Linked DNA regions of Xenopus tropicalis. The protein of the gene in region 1 interacts with the protein of each later gene in a biochemical or structural test. Links are inferred from orthologs where the notes say so. Each region holds a gene or a part of one and is shown in the gene's direction. Other genes may lie near its edges.

What was found. The genes of interacting proteins can lie anywhere in the genome.
Region 2: the proteins of rps6ka1 (region 1) and pdzrn4 interact in a test that uses a peptide from one of them, tested with the Homo sapiens proteins (2 studies listed by BioGRID and IntAct, with this or other methods). The link is inferred for Xenopus tropicalis from reciprocal best matches to the Homo sapiens genes RPS6KA1 and PDZRN4.
Region 3: the proteins of rps6ka1 (region 1) and mast1 interact in a test that uses a peptide from one of them, tested with the Homo sapiens proteins (2 studies listed by BioGRID and IntAct, with this or other methods). The link is inferred for Xenopus tropicalis from reciprocal best matches to the Homo sapiens genes RPS6KA1 and MAST1.

Annotation. Positions count from the first base shown.
Region 1 is NC_030678.2:77,648,957-77,652,613, forward strand, and holds part of rps6ka1 (ribosomal protein S6 kinase alpha-1), read left to right. Parts: intron 1-123; coding exon 124-230; intron 231-2,544; coding exon 2,545-2,582; intron 2,583-2,793; coding exon 2,794-2,936; intron 2,937-3,080; coding exon 3,081-3,151; intron 3,152-3,657. UniProt on the Homo sapiens protein: Serine/threonine-protein kinase that acts downstream of ERK (MAPK1/ERK2 and MAPK3/ERK1) signaling and mediates mitogenic and stress-induced activation of the transcription factors CREB1, ETV1/ER81 and NR4A1/NUR77, regulates translation through RPS6 and EIF4B phosphorylation, and mediates cellular proliferation, survival, and differentiation by modulating mTOR signaling and repressing pro-apoptotic function of BAD and DAPK1.
Region 2 is NC_030679.2:65,054,820-65,058,476, reverse strand, and holds part of pdzrn4 (PDZ domain-containing RING finger protein 4), read left to right. Parts: intron 1-335; coding exon 336-437; intron 438-3,223; coding exon 3,224-3,340; intron 3,341-3,657.
Region 3 is NC_030679.2:140,257,487-140,261,143, reverse strand, and holds part of mast1 (microtubule-associated serine/threonine-protein kinase 1), read left to right. Parts: intron 1-1,202; coding exon 1,203-1,335; intron 1,336-3,657. UniProt on the Homo sapiens protein: Microtubule-associated protein essential for correct brain development. Appears to link the dystrophin/utrophin network with microtubule filaments via the syntrophins. Phosphorylation of DMD or UTRN may modulate their affinities for associated proteins.

The DNA of each region.
Region 1 (3,657 bases):
CTTCAACAATTCAACGCTGTGACCCCTGGAATTTTCCCTTTCTACTATATATAAAAATAATAATGCTTTGGGATTATGTAAGAATTACTTATGTGAATTAATTTAAATGTATTTTTAATATAGGTAATGTTCACAGAAGAAGATGTGAAGTTTTACCTAGCGGAACTGGCTTTGGGTCTTGATCATTTGCACAGCTTAGGGATCATCTACCGTGACCTAAAACCTGAAAAGTATGTTGGTGAGCCAGGCATTAAGGCAGTTTGACTGCACTGCACTGTTGGTTTGACTGCATGTGTGTTGAGATAGTGTAGGTCAGTGCTGTCCAATTTATGTGGTATTGTACATGGTGAAGGGCCAATAATGGAAGCCAATTTAGGCCACCCCCTTTTTTAAACTGCGTCCACTTTAAGCCACACCCATGTAATCACAAGTGCTTTTAAGACCATACCCAAATTAATGGTGGCAGTGCAGGAAAAACCAAAATGATTGGTGCTTACTGTAGGGAAATCACCCTTTTTTCATATGTAAAAGAAGTTTATGCACCGAATCCAGGATTCAATTCAGTATTTTTTGGCAGGTTTCTGTTTCGGGCCGAATCCATGGTCCTGGCCGAACTGAATCCTAATTCACATAAATTAGCATATGATAATTAGCACTTGAAAGTACAAATGTTAGGGGGAAAATATTTTCCCGCTGCGCACATGCACCCCGAGTTTTACCACTTTCAGATCCTAATTAGCATATGCTAATTAGGATTTGGCTTGGGGTTCGGCTGAATCCAAAAAACTGGGTTCGGTGCATCCCTAATATTAAGACATATGCTTCCCCTGTGGATAACATAGCAACCCCCAGCACATAATTACACACCATAGGTTCCATATAATGACTAGTTCCAAATACTCCCAGAACAAACCTCTGCCAGGTTTACCTCCCACAGGCAGCATAGGGCAGGCAGTGTATGGCACACACAGAGGCAGTATAGGGCAGGCAGAGAATGGCACACACAGGCAGCATAGGGCAGGCAGAGTATGGCACACACAGGCAGCATAGGGCAAGCAGAGTATGGCACACACAGGCAGCATAGGGCAAGCAGTGTATGGAACACACACAGGCAGTATAGGGCAGGCAGAGTATGGCGCACACAGGCAGCATAGGTCAGGCAGAGTATGGCACACACAGGCAGCATAGGGGTAGCAGAGTATGGCACACACAGGCAGCATAGGGGTAGCAGAGTATGGCACACACAGAGGCAGTATAGGGCAGGCAGTGTATGGCACACACAGAGGCAGTATAGGGCAGGCAGAGAATGGCACACACAGGCAGCATAGGGCAGGCAGAGTATGGCACACACAGGCAGCATAGGTCAGGCAGAATATGGCACACATAGGCAGCATAGGCCAGGCAGAGAACATAAAGTGACACAATCTGTTACTGCTCCTACAGTCTGTCTGAGATGTGAACAGTGTGAGTGCTTACAGTTTGAGCCTTTGTTGTGAATAATGCAGCGACTAAAAGGTGTGAACAATACATGGAGATGACAGGTGTGAATAACACAGGGGTTTAAAGCCTGAATCTGAGGTGTGAACAATGGAAGGGGCCAGTTAATCACAGTAATGATACCATTTAAAGCAGCCACAACAGTCAGGCAGGTGGGGGGGCCACAGAGGGGGGCTCCTGGCCAGCAGTTGGACAGCACTGGCATAGGTCAATCTTACCTTTAAGCATGAAATGGAACACTTTTCTTAGTATAATTAGCATCCTTACATGTGTGCAATAAAAAAAAGTTCCATTTCACTGATTAAAGGTAAGATTGACTTATGCTATCTCAACATACAAAATGAAATTAAATATTGTTACTGTTTCCAAAATTATAGGGGTTACTGCTACTGGGCGCTCTTAGTGCCTTTTTTTGACATATGGGGGTTTGGTGTATAGGTACTTTGCTCAGGCATATTGTTTATTTTTTCTAAATAAAAGCAACAATAAAAGTTTATCTGCACTTATTCTTAAAGGAGAAGGAAAGTCTAAGTCACTTGGGGCTGCCAAAATGTTAGGCACCCCCAAGTGACTTAAATCGCTTACCTTGTACCCCGGGCTGGTGCCCCTGTTCGGAGAAAACCGCACCAGCCCGGGGTAGCTGTAGCGAGTGCTTCCTCCTTCCGTGTTTCTTCTGCCGGCAAAATCCCTGGGCCAGAGCATGCGCATTAGAGTGAAAAGCCAACTTTTTTGTTAAAGTTCGGCTTTCGCTCTACTGAGCAAGCACAAACGCGGAACTGCTCACTACAGGTACCCTGGGCTGGTGTGGTTTTCTCCGAACAGGGGCACCAGCCAGGGGTACAAGGTAAGCGCTTAAAGTCACTTGGGGGTACCTAACATTTTGGCACCGCCTTTCCTTCTCCTTTAGAACCTCATAAAGAACACAGGTGTGGTTTAACATCAAATGATGGCTGTTAACTAAAAAAAAGATACATACCACAGTTGTTTACTTTATATCATTGTGAGTGGCACGTGGTGGTAACATCTGCCTTTCTCTGTGCTGTGCAGCATTCTCTTGGATGAAGAGGGCCATATAAAGCTTACTGGTATGTTTCTGTGAACTGTTTGTGTTCCCATCCCTGTGTATCCACTCCGATTCCTGGTGTTGTCTGATACCAATCTCTTGTGTTGGGACCATTCTTCTATACATGCAGGCTTTTGACAAACTTGGAACAAGCTTCATAATTTTCTCTGTCTCTTTTTTTGTGTGTGCACCTGTGTAACATCTAATTGGATACTTGGCATTACCCTGATCAGATTTTGGGCTAAGTAAAGAGGCAATAGACCATGAAAAAAAGGCTTATTCTTTTTGTGGGACTGTGGAGTATATGGCTCCTGAAGTAGTGAATCGACAAGGACATTCGCACAGTGCAGACTGGTGGTCTTATGGCGTGCTTATGGTAAGCTGTTTGCTTATATCTAGATAAACACAAAACAATTTATTTTACCTTTTCTCCTATTGGTATCTGTTCTTTCAGTCTCTTTCAGATTACTGGTTCCATTTTTGCCATTTCAATAATTTCTGAATGTTTCCATATTCACAGTTTGAGATGCTGACAGGATCACTGCCATTCCAGGGCAAAGACCGTAAGGAAACCATGACTCTAATCCTGAAGTAAGTAGAAAATTGGAAAATCTAGGGTGTCCGTAGAAAACTATAGCTGAAATACAAGTTACTATATGAAAGAATGGTTTGTAATGTTCACAGTTGTATATAAGTTTCACTGTCAGCAAACTAAAAAGTAGCTTAAAATTTGGTACAGAATGAGCAATTCTTATCCTCAAAAATCAAATGTGAGCTGCTGCTAGAACAACAAAGTTAATGCTTAGTAAAAGCAAGTTAAGAGTTATTTCTTTATGAAAATGTTATAGCCATTTTTATAACAGCACAAATGAAGAAAAATTCACATCAGGGAAGGAATACCACCAGAATTCTAGCATAATGTTGGTACTCGCAAAGTAGCATATTCTGGAACTTACAAACTGAGGGCACTTCAGTATTCTTTTGCCCCTGTAGCTGCATTTATTTGTTGACATAACTCATCAGTTTTAAGTGCAGGAGAGGGCAAGCTGTCTTATAGCGGTCAAGGGACATAATCATTTAGGAATACCTTGCAGTAA
Region 2 (3,657 bases), on another chromosome or scaffold:
AAAGTGACAGTTCCATTACTCTGAACAGAGAAAGATGAACGTCACCTGTCAGAAGCTAGTTAATTGTGTTGCTAGATGTATGTTACTGGGGCGCAGGTTAGACGTTTATGAACATAACTGCTTCCTCTGATGTTCACCATCCTTCACAGATCAATACTGTTCTTATAGTAAGCGCATAATTGAGCGAAGGCATTTACAACCGAGGGCTGAGGATGAGTCCTCTGTGTAACTTTCACTGTCCATACATTTAGCACAAATGAGTTGATATTTGCCCTTTATTGTGTTTTGCCTTGCGGATATGGCAACTAATGTGCCCATTTCATTTATTTTTTCAGATTAATGGCCAAGATATCCAGAACAGAGAGGAGGCTGTGGCATTACTCTCCAGTGATGAATGCAAGAGAATCACTCTGCTGGTTGCGAGACCAGAGTTACAGGTTAGTGAACAAGAATATTCTTTGTCATCATGACCTAAAATATAGAGACAATGGTATTGTCTATGCTATGCTGTACAATGTTGTTGTTTTTGTATTAGATGGCTTTCATCAAGTACAGATGTGGCTACAAAATATTAGAATAGCAATTCCTATTGTGTATCCTGAAAAAAGTCCTAGAAGACTGGGGCTCAAAATAGCAACCCTTAGTTCTTATTCAACAAGCACTGTAGCACAGTGCAAATGTAAATGACCCCCAAGGGCTGGGTAGAAGGTGGGAAGGGTTGTGCCCTACAGTGCTCCGGAATGCAGGCAGAGCTGGAGTCATACAGAAAGCATATCAATGGCATTGCTCAGTGCCAAGTGCCAAACCCATGGTGATTTCCACCCATTTTTGCTCTTTGCAGCCTGCCCAATCCATAAAGGAGGTGCTTTACCTCTTAGTGACATTTTGCCACTTGGTGGCAGCGTACTGAATAAATCAATATAAAAAGTAGTGTGCTGCTGTATATATGTGACTCTCATGTTCTATGTTCTGTGATGTTAGCAAACCTAAGGCTTTCTACATTCCAGTTGCTAATAAAAGTTAATAATTCCATCATTACATTGCACTATTCTGATATGGAATCATTTACTTTGTTGTATAATATAGAAGCAAGGTGGCCCAGTAATTAGCATTGCTGCCTTGCAATGCTTGGGTCCTGGGTTTATTCCAGCCAAGGAGTCTGTGTGAGTTTTCTCCAAAAACATATATGTAGATTTATTGACTCCTGTTACAATTGACAGTTTGGTTTGAATTTGATAGGAACTTTAGATTATAAGCTTCACTGGGCAGTGAGTGTGTATTATTTTAGGAGAATTGCTGGAGAATATGTCGGCATATATATATATATAAATAAAGAATAATATATGCTTATTTTTGTGTATAATTAGTATATAGCTACTAGATGGTGAGGTGGCTGTTTCATTTGGGAAGATATACAGACATAACTCACAATGCTGCCTTGGCATTTATATCGATTTCAGTTCAAATCTCACATAGACAGCAACATTGCCAGACAACTGCAGCAAGTCTGGTGGCAGATTCCCTCTCCTACTGGATCGACAGCAGCATGGTTTGATATGCCACGACAAACAGAACATATTTTATTACAAGCTGTGCTAGGAAAGTGTTGAACACACATACCCTTTTGAGTAATTGTAATTTGTACGGTCCATAGACTGGTAAATAGAAGACAACAAAAAAAAAAACATATTGTTTCCATTAATCTTCTATTCATTAATCATGTCACAACTATGCCTAAGCTGCACATCCTCTCTGCTGCACTATTATTTTATAAATCTATATAAAATGAACCCAGGACTTTAGCCTGCTATTATCTTTTTCTTGCTGGGTACCAAACAAGGAGCAAGTGTAATGTAGAGGTGAACTAGATCAGTCACAATGTCATACTTGTTTTATGTAGATATAGCTTTACTTAACTAAGCCTCTGTTTTTGCACAAGGATCATTTTTACTTCACCCAATTTTTCCAACCATGTTTTCATTTTTTATGTAAAGATATGAATGGCAAATCTTTGATTTCATTTTAAATCCCAGCTGTTTTTTTTCAAAAAGGTTTCAAAATTCACCTTTTTTTCAGAAAAAGGTAATAAATGAGCTGCCCCACATGTGTAGGAAGAACTTCTCATGCCAAGGGATGTGATGCTTTCTGTAAAATGTCTAGTGCCTTTTGACAGCTGGCATGGTTGATTTTTTTTTTTTTTTTTCAATATGACATTTTTTTCTGCTATGATCTCAGTAGTAAAGTGATAAGAGGATACAGTATATTCTAAGGTCATTTTTCAGCTTTTACCTTCTTATCTTGGTGACTTTCCAGAAATCATTAAACAGACTTCTTAGAGCAGTCAAGTAAACTGCCAGATTCGATGAGCACAGATATTTCTGAACAAGGGATTTTTCACTATGACAGAGCAATCTTTACTGCCTTTAATTAGCTGCACAGAAAAGCCATTTCTCCACAGTTTCTTTGTGATTAATGCTAAAATGATCCCTAAAGGAAAGGAAATGGAGAATAATAACTTCTTTTGGTACATCCAGCTCTGTTTCATCACAGAGTGAGAAGAGCTTTTCATTCAGTTTCACAGTCTATGCTTTAAGCTAATTTTATCCCAGTTTATCATGTCCCAACTGTTCTGATGTTTCTTATCTTGGTACCAATAGTGCATAGTAACATGCTGGCAAGGGCTGCATTTATTACAAAATAGAAATAAAGAGACTGTTTTAGTGCTCAATGCAGCCACTGAAAATGCTTAAAAAATGAAAAAAATATGTTTCAACAAATCAATTCGCCTGATCTGTTCCTAAATTCCCAAGGGTAATCAAAGTACCAAATGAAATTTATAATCTACCAAATATCTAAATAATGATTCCTATAAGAAGACTGCTCAGCACCTGGCTATATTCACAGTCCCAACATGTGTTTTGCTTGGGCTTTGTGTGTACTGGGCACATAGCTGTTTACATGAACGTATTTGGTTTGAAGAAAATGATGAGGAGAGATGTAAGAGATTAGAGACAAGTAAGCCCATTTGTTTAAGAGCTGGATGAAAAGCACCAGTGCTGCATATATTATCATTCATTTTCTGGTGTAAAGAAAAGTATAACAGGCCTGTTTTTCAAAAGAATCATTACGATGAAAGGATCTGGCCGGCCATTGCTATTAGGGTTTACACCAGCACTACGTATGACTAATAATATAATATAATGTACTAATGTATTCTTTACAGTTGGATGAAGGGTGGATGGATGATGAAAGGAATGAATTCTTGGAGGAGTTAAACAACCAAAAATTGGGAGAACAACATAATGAAGCAATGCAATACAAAGCTAATGAAGTGCAACAGGTATGAATTATTAAACATCAAATTAAACATTTTTAGACTTTTCCCTGAAGAGGTACTCTTTAAATATATAAAAATGTCATGTTCAACTATTCATTTAGTAATTTTTCAGTATGTTATTATCTTACACACATATTTATCCTTGTTTGTCTTATACTGTTACGATTTCTCTTTAATGACTTTTAGAGGTGTTTAGATACCACTTTTGCTGATATTAAATATATATATATTTATCACATTTTCAGGTATAACATAGACCTATTTACTCTTAACTGAATCATCCTGGGGTCAGTGGGGAAGGAGTTTTTCTTCCCTCTCCT
Region 3 (3,657 bases), on another chromosome or scaffold:
TGTGCTGCCCCCCCCCACATTATTCTCACTATTATTGTGTCTTGTTATTCACCCCCTCGTCCCTCCCTCCCACCCTGCCTGCCTCCCCCCCTATGCACGGCTCTTTATCGCCCATTCTTCTACACTTAATCTTCACTCTTTGCCTCTGCCCATCACTTCTCTGCTTCACCTTTACTTCTTCCCATGCTCACTCACTTACCTACTGCCCAACACTCCTTCTGCCTGACACACCCACTGCCCAACACTCCTTCTGCCTGACACACCCACTGCCCAACACTCCTTCTGCCTGACACACCCACTGCCCAACACTCCTTCTGCCTGACACACCCACTGCCCAACACTCCTTCTGCCTGACACACCCACTGCCCAACACTCCTTCTGCCTGACACACCCACTGCCCAACACTCCTTCCCCCTGACACACCCACTGCCCAACACTCCTTCTGCCTGACACACCCACTGCCCAACACTCCTTCTGCCTGACACACCCACTGCCCAACACTCCTTCTGCCTGACACACCCACTGCCCAACACTCCTTCTGCCTGACACACCCACTGCCCAACACTCCTTCCCCCTGACACACCCACTGCCCAACACTCCTTCTGCCTGACACACCCACTGCCCAACACTCCTTCCCCCTGACACACCCACTGCCAAACACTCCTTCTGCCTGACACACCCACTGCCCAACACTCCGTCTGCCTGACACACTCACTGCCCAACACTCCTTCTGCTGGACACACCCATTTCCTGACACACCCACTGCCCCGCACACCCACTGTCTAACACACCCACTGTCTAACTTACCCACTGCCTGCCCCACCCACAGCCTGGCACACCCACTGCCTGACATGCCCATGGCTTGACACACCCACTGCCTGACACACCTACAGCCTGGCACACCCACTGGCTGACATGCCCATGGCTTGACACACCCACTGCCTGGCACGCCCACTGACTGCCATGCCCACTGACTGCCACGCCCATGGCTTGACACACCCACAGCCTGACACACCCACTGACTGTATTCATTGTCTCATTCACATGTTCACTCCCTATTTATGTTCATTAATTCCCTTACATAATTCAGTACTCAGACTTTCACTCTTCATTCAGAAACTCATTCACTGCATGTTTTCCTTTTCTCTCTTCACGTTTCCTCCTCACTTTCTGTCTTGTTGTTATTTACTCTCTTCCCTTAGTCTCCTAATCACTTCGATGGGTCACATAAAGCTTACAGATTTCGGCCTGTCCAAGATGGGGCTTATGAACCTCACCACTAATCTCTATGAAGGACACATCGAGAGCGAAGCAAGGGAATTCCTGGACAAGCAGGTATGGGCTTCATTCCTCCACCTCATCCTCTGTGTCACTGTATCATATTCACTGCCTGTCTGTGTCACTGTATCACCCTGCAGTGGGAGGGACAGACTCCATGTCCCATAGCCCCCTCCTGTCTGTGTCACTGTATCACCCTGCAGTGGGAGGGACAGACTCCGTGTCCCATAGCTCCCTCCTGTCTGTGTCACTGTATCACCCTGCAGTGGGAGGGACAGACTCCATGTCCCATAGCCCCCTCCTGCCTGTGTCACTGTATCACCCTGCAGTGGGAGGGGCAGACTCCGTGTCCCATAGCCCCCTCCTGTCTGTGTCACTGTATCACCCTGCAGTGGGAGGGACAGACTCCGTGTCCCATAGCTCCCTCCTGTCTGTGTCACTGTATCACCCTGCAGTGGGAGGGACAGACTCCATGTCCCATAGCCCCCTCCTGCCTGTGTCACTGTATCACCCTGCAGTGGGAGGGACAGACTCCGTGTCCCATAGCTCCCTCCTGTCTGTGTCACTGTATCACCCTGCAGTGGGAGGGACAGACTCCGTGTCCCATAGCTCCCTCCTGTCTGTGTCACTGTGTAGCACACCCTTGGGTGAGACTAATATATATGGGTAACTCCAGCACACTCAGTGACACCCCAATGACTGACCACAATAATGGTAAACAATAAGATCCCTTTTCTTTATTAAGCGTAACAAACAATCAGCAGGGATCTGACTATGATTTAAAATATTAAAGCAAGATATATATGTATAACAATATACCAAAGAACAATAACACAATTTAAATTGCCAATATAAAGTATGCAGAAAATATATATGCTAAATGTTGTAACTTAATTCCCCTGTCACAGTCCCAGATGATTTGTGCACGTTGGGGCCCTTATTGAGTTTAGCTTATTGGCCAATAGCACTGTTCCTTTCATTTGCCGGTTAGCAGTATAACTCTATAAACTTAGCGAAGAAACACTTTCCTTCCAGGTGAGAAATGACTTGGCAGAGTGTATAGTTCAGCAACAGATGGATTAGCTCCTATTGGTTAATAATACACAGTTCCCCAATAGTGTGTGGTGTTGCAGGTTACTCACAGTCTGTGCTCCAAATCACTGTATCCCCTTTAGTAACAGATTGGACACAGGCAGCTCTGCCCTCCAGCATCTGTAATCCCCTGGGCCTCTCTGCAGCCTGTCAGCCTGGGACTCTCCTACCAACAGTAGGCAGCTCCCCCCTGCTCCCTTTCTGGCTAGCACTGATAGCTCTTTTACAGGTGCAAGTCCAGAGCTGGGATAGCAGGGTCAGCTTCTCCCTGTAGCAGCTTCTCCTGGGCCAGGATCCCTGCAGGTGTCTCTCTCCCCTCTGGCAGCTCTCACACTCAGAGCAGGCACAGCAGGTAGGCAACAGGCAGCAGTTTTATCCCTGGCACCCACTTCTCTCCACTTTTTTATAATCCAGGAGGGTGGTCCTCAAAACATTTTGCGCCTTTCCTTATCATTGGTGGATTCAAAGCCCCAGCAAGGTCCTCAGGTCTGCGGCATGCTGGGATATGTAGTCCTGTAAACTGTCTATGCAATTGTTCATGTTTCTTGCTTTAGTTAGGGGTGTTACACTCTCCCCCCACCACAAATCTTGAGTCCTCTCAAGAGCAACCTTATAGAATATAATTGGCAATGCATAATATATGACAGATACATACATGTGTAGGTAACATAACTCAAATTTGTATATCTACAAAGTAAGGACATTGAAAATACACCACAGATCTACACTGGGGTGGGGTGTCACCTGAAGAGTGTGCACTAGAGGGAACATGGGCGTGGGCACTTCTATGGGCCGCAATCACAGTCTTTTCTGTACTATTGCCCAGAGAATCATAAGTAAGTCTTTGAGGTGGTCTGATTACTCTGGGTTCTCTAGTGTTAAACACTCTTGACTCTATATGTTCTTCATCACAGTCAACTCTGGAGCCAACATCTGTATCAGTCTCTAGTGTAGGCGATAGGTTGTCTGAAAGTTCATGTACAGATTCATTTCCATTTGTGATAGATGTGTCAGGAGCAACCTCTGAAACCTGGAAAGGCACATCATCCAGATTTTCTGGAATAAACTCTGGAGCATTTACATTTAATTCTGTAGTGGCTTCCTCACTATTAAAAGCAGGTCTCTCTGAGTCTGTTTCACCGAAGAAATAGTTTAAGCCCCATTCCTCCTCTTCAGATTCATCTTCACTTGAATAGATGTGACAGTCAGCCCTGGGTACAGTAGGGGTTTGACTCTGAATTCTCTTTGACCTTCTGGGTCTGGTGTTTTTGGAAGGTTTATCATCTA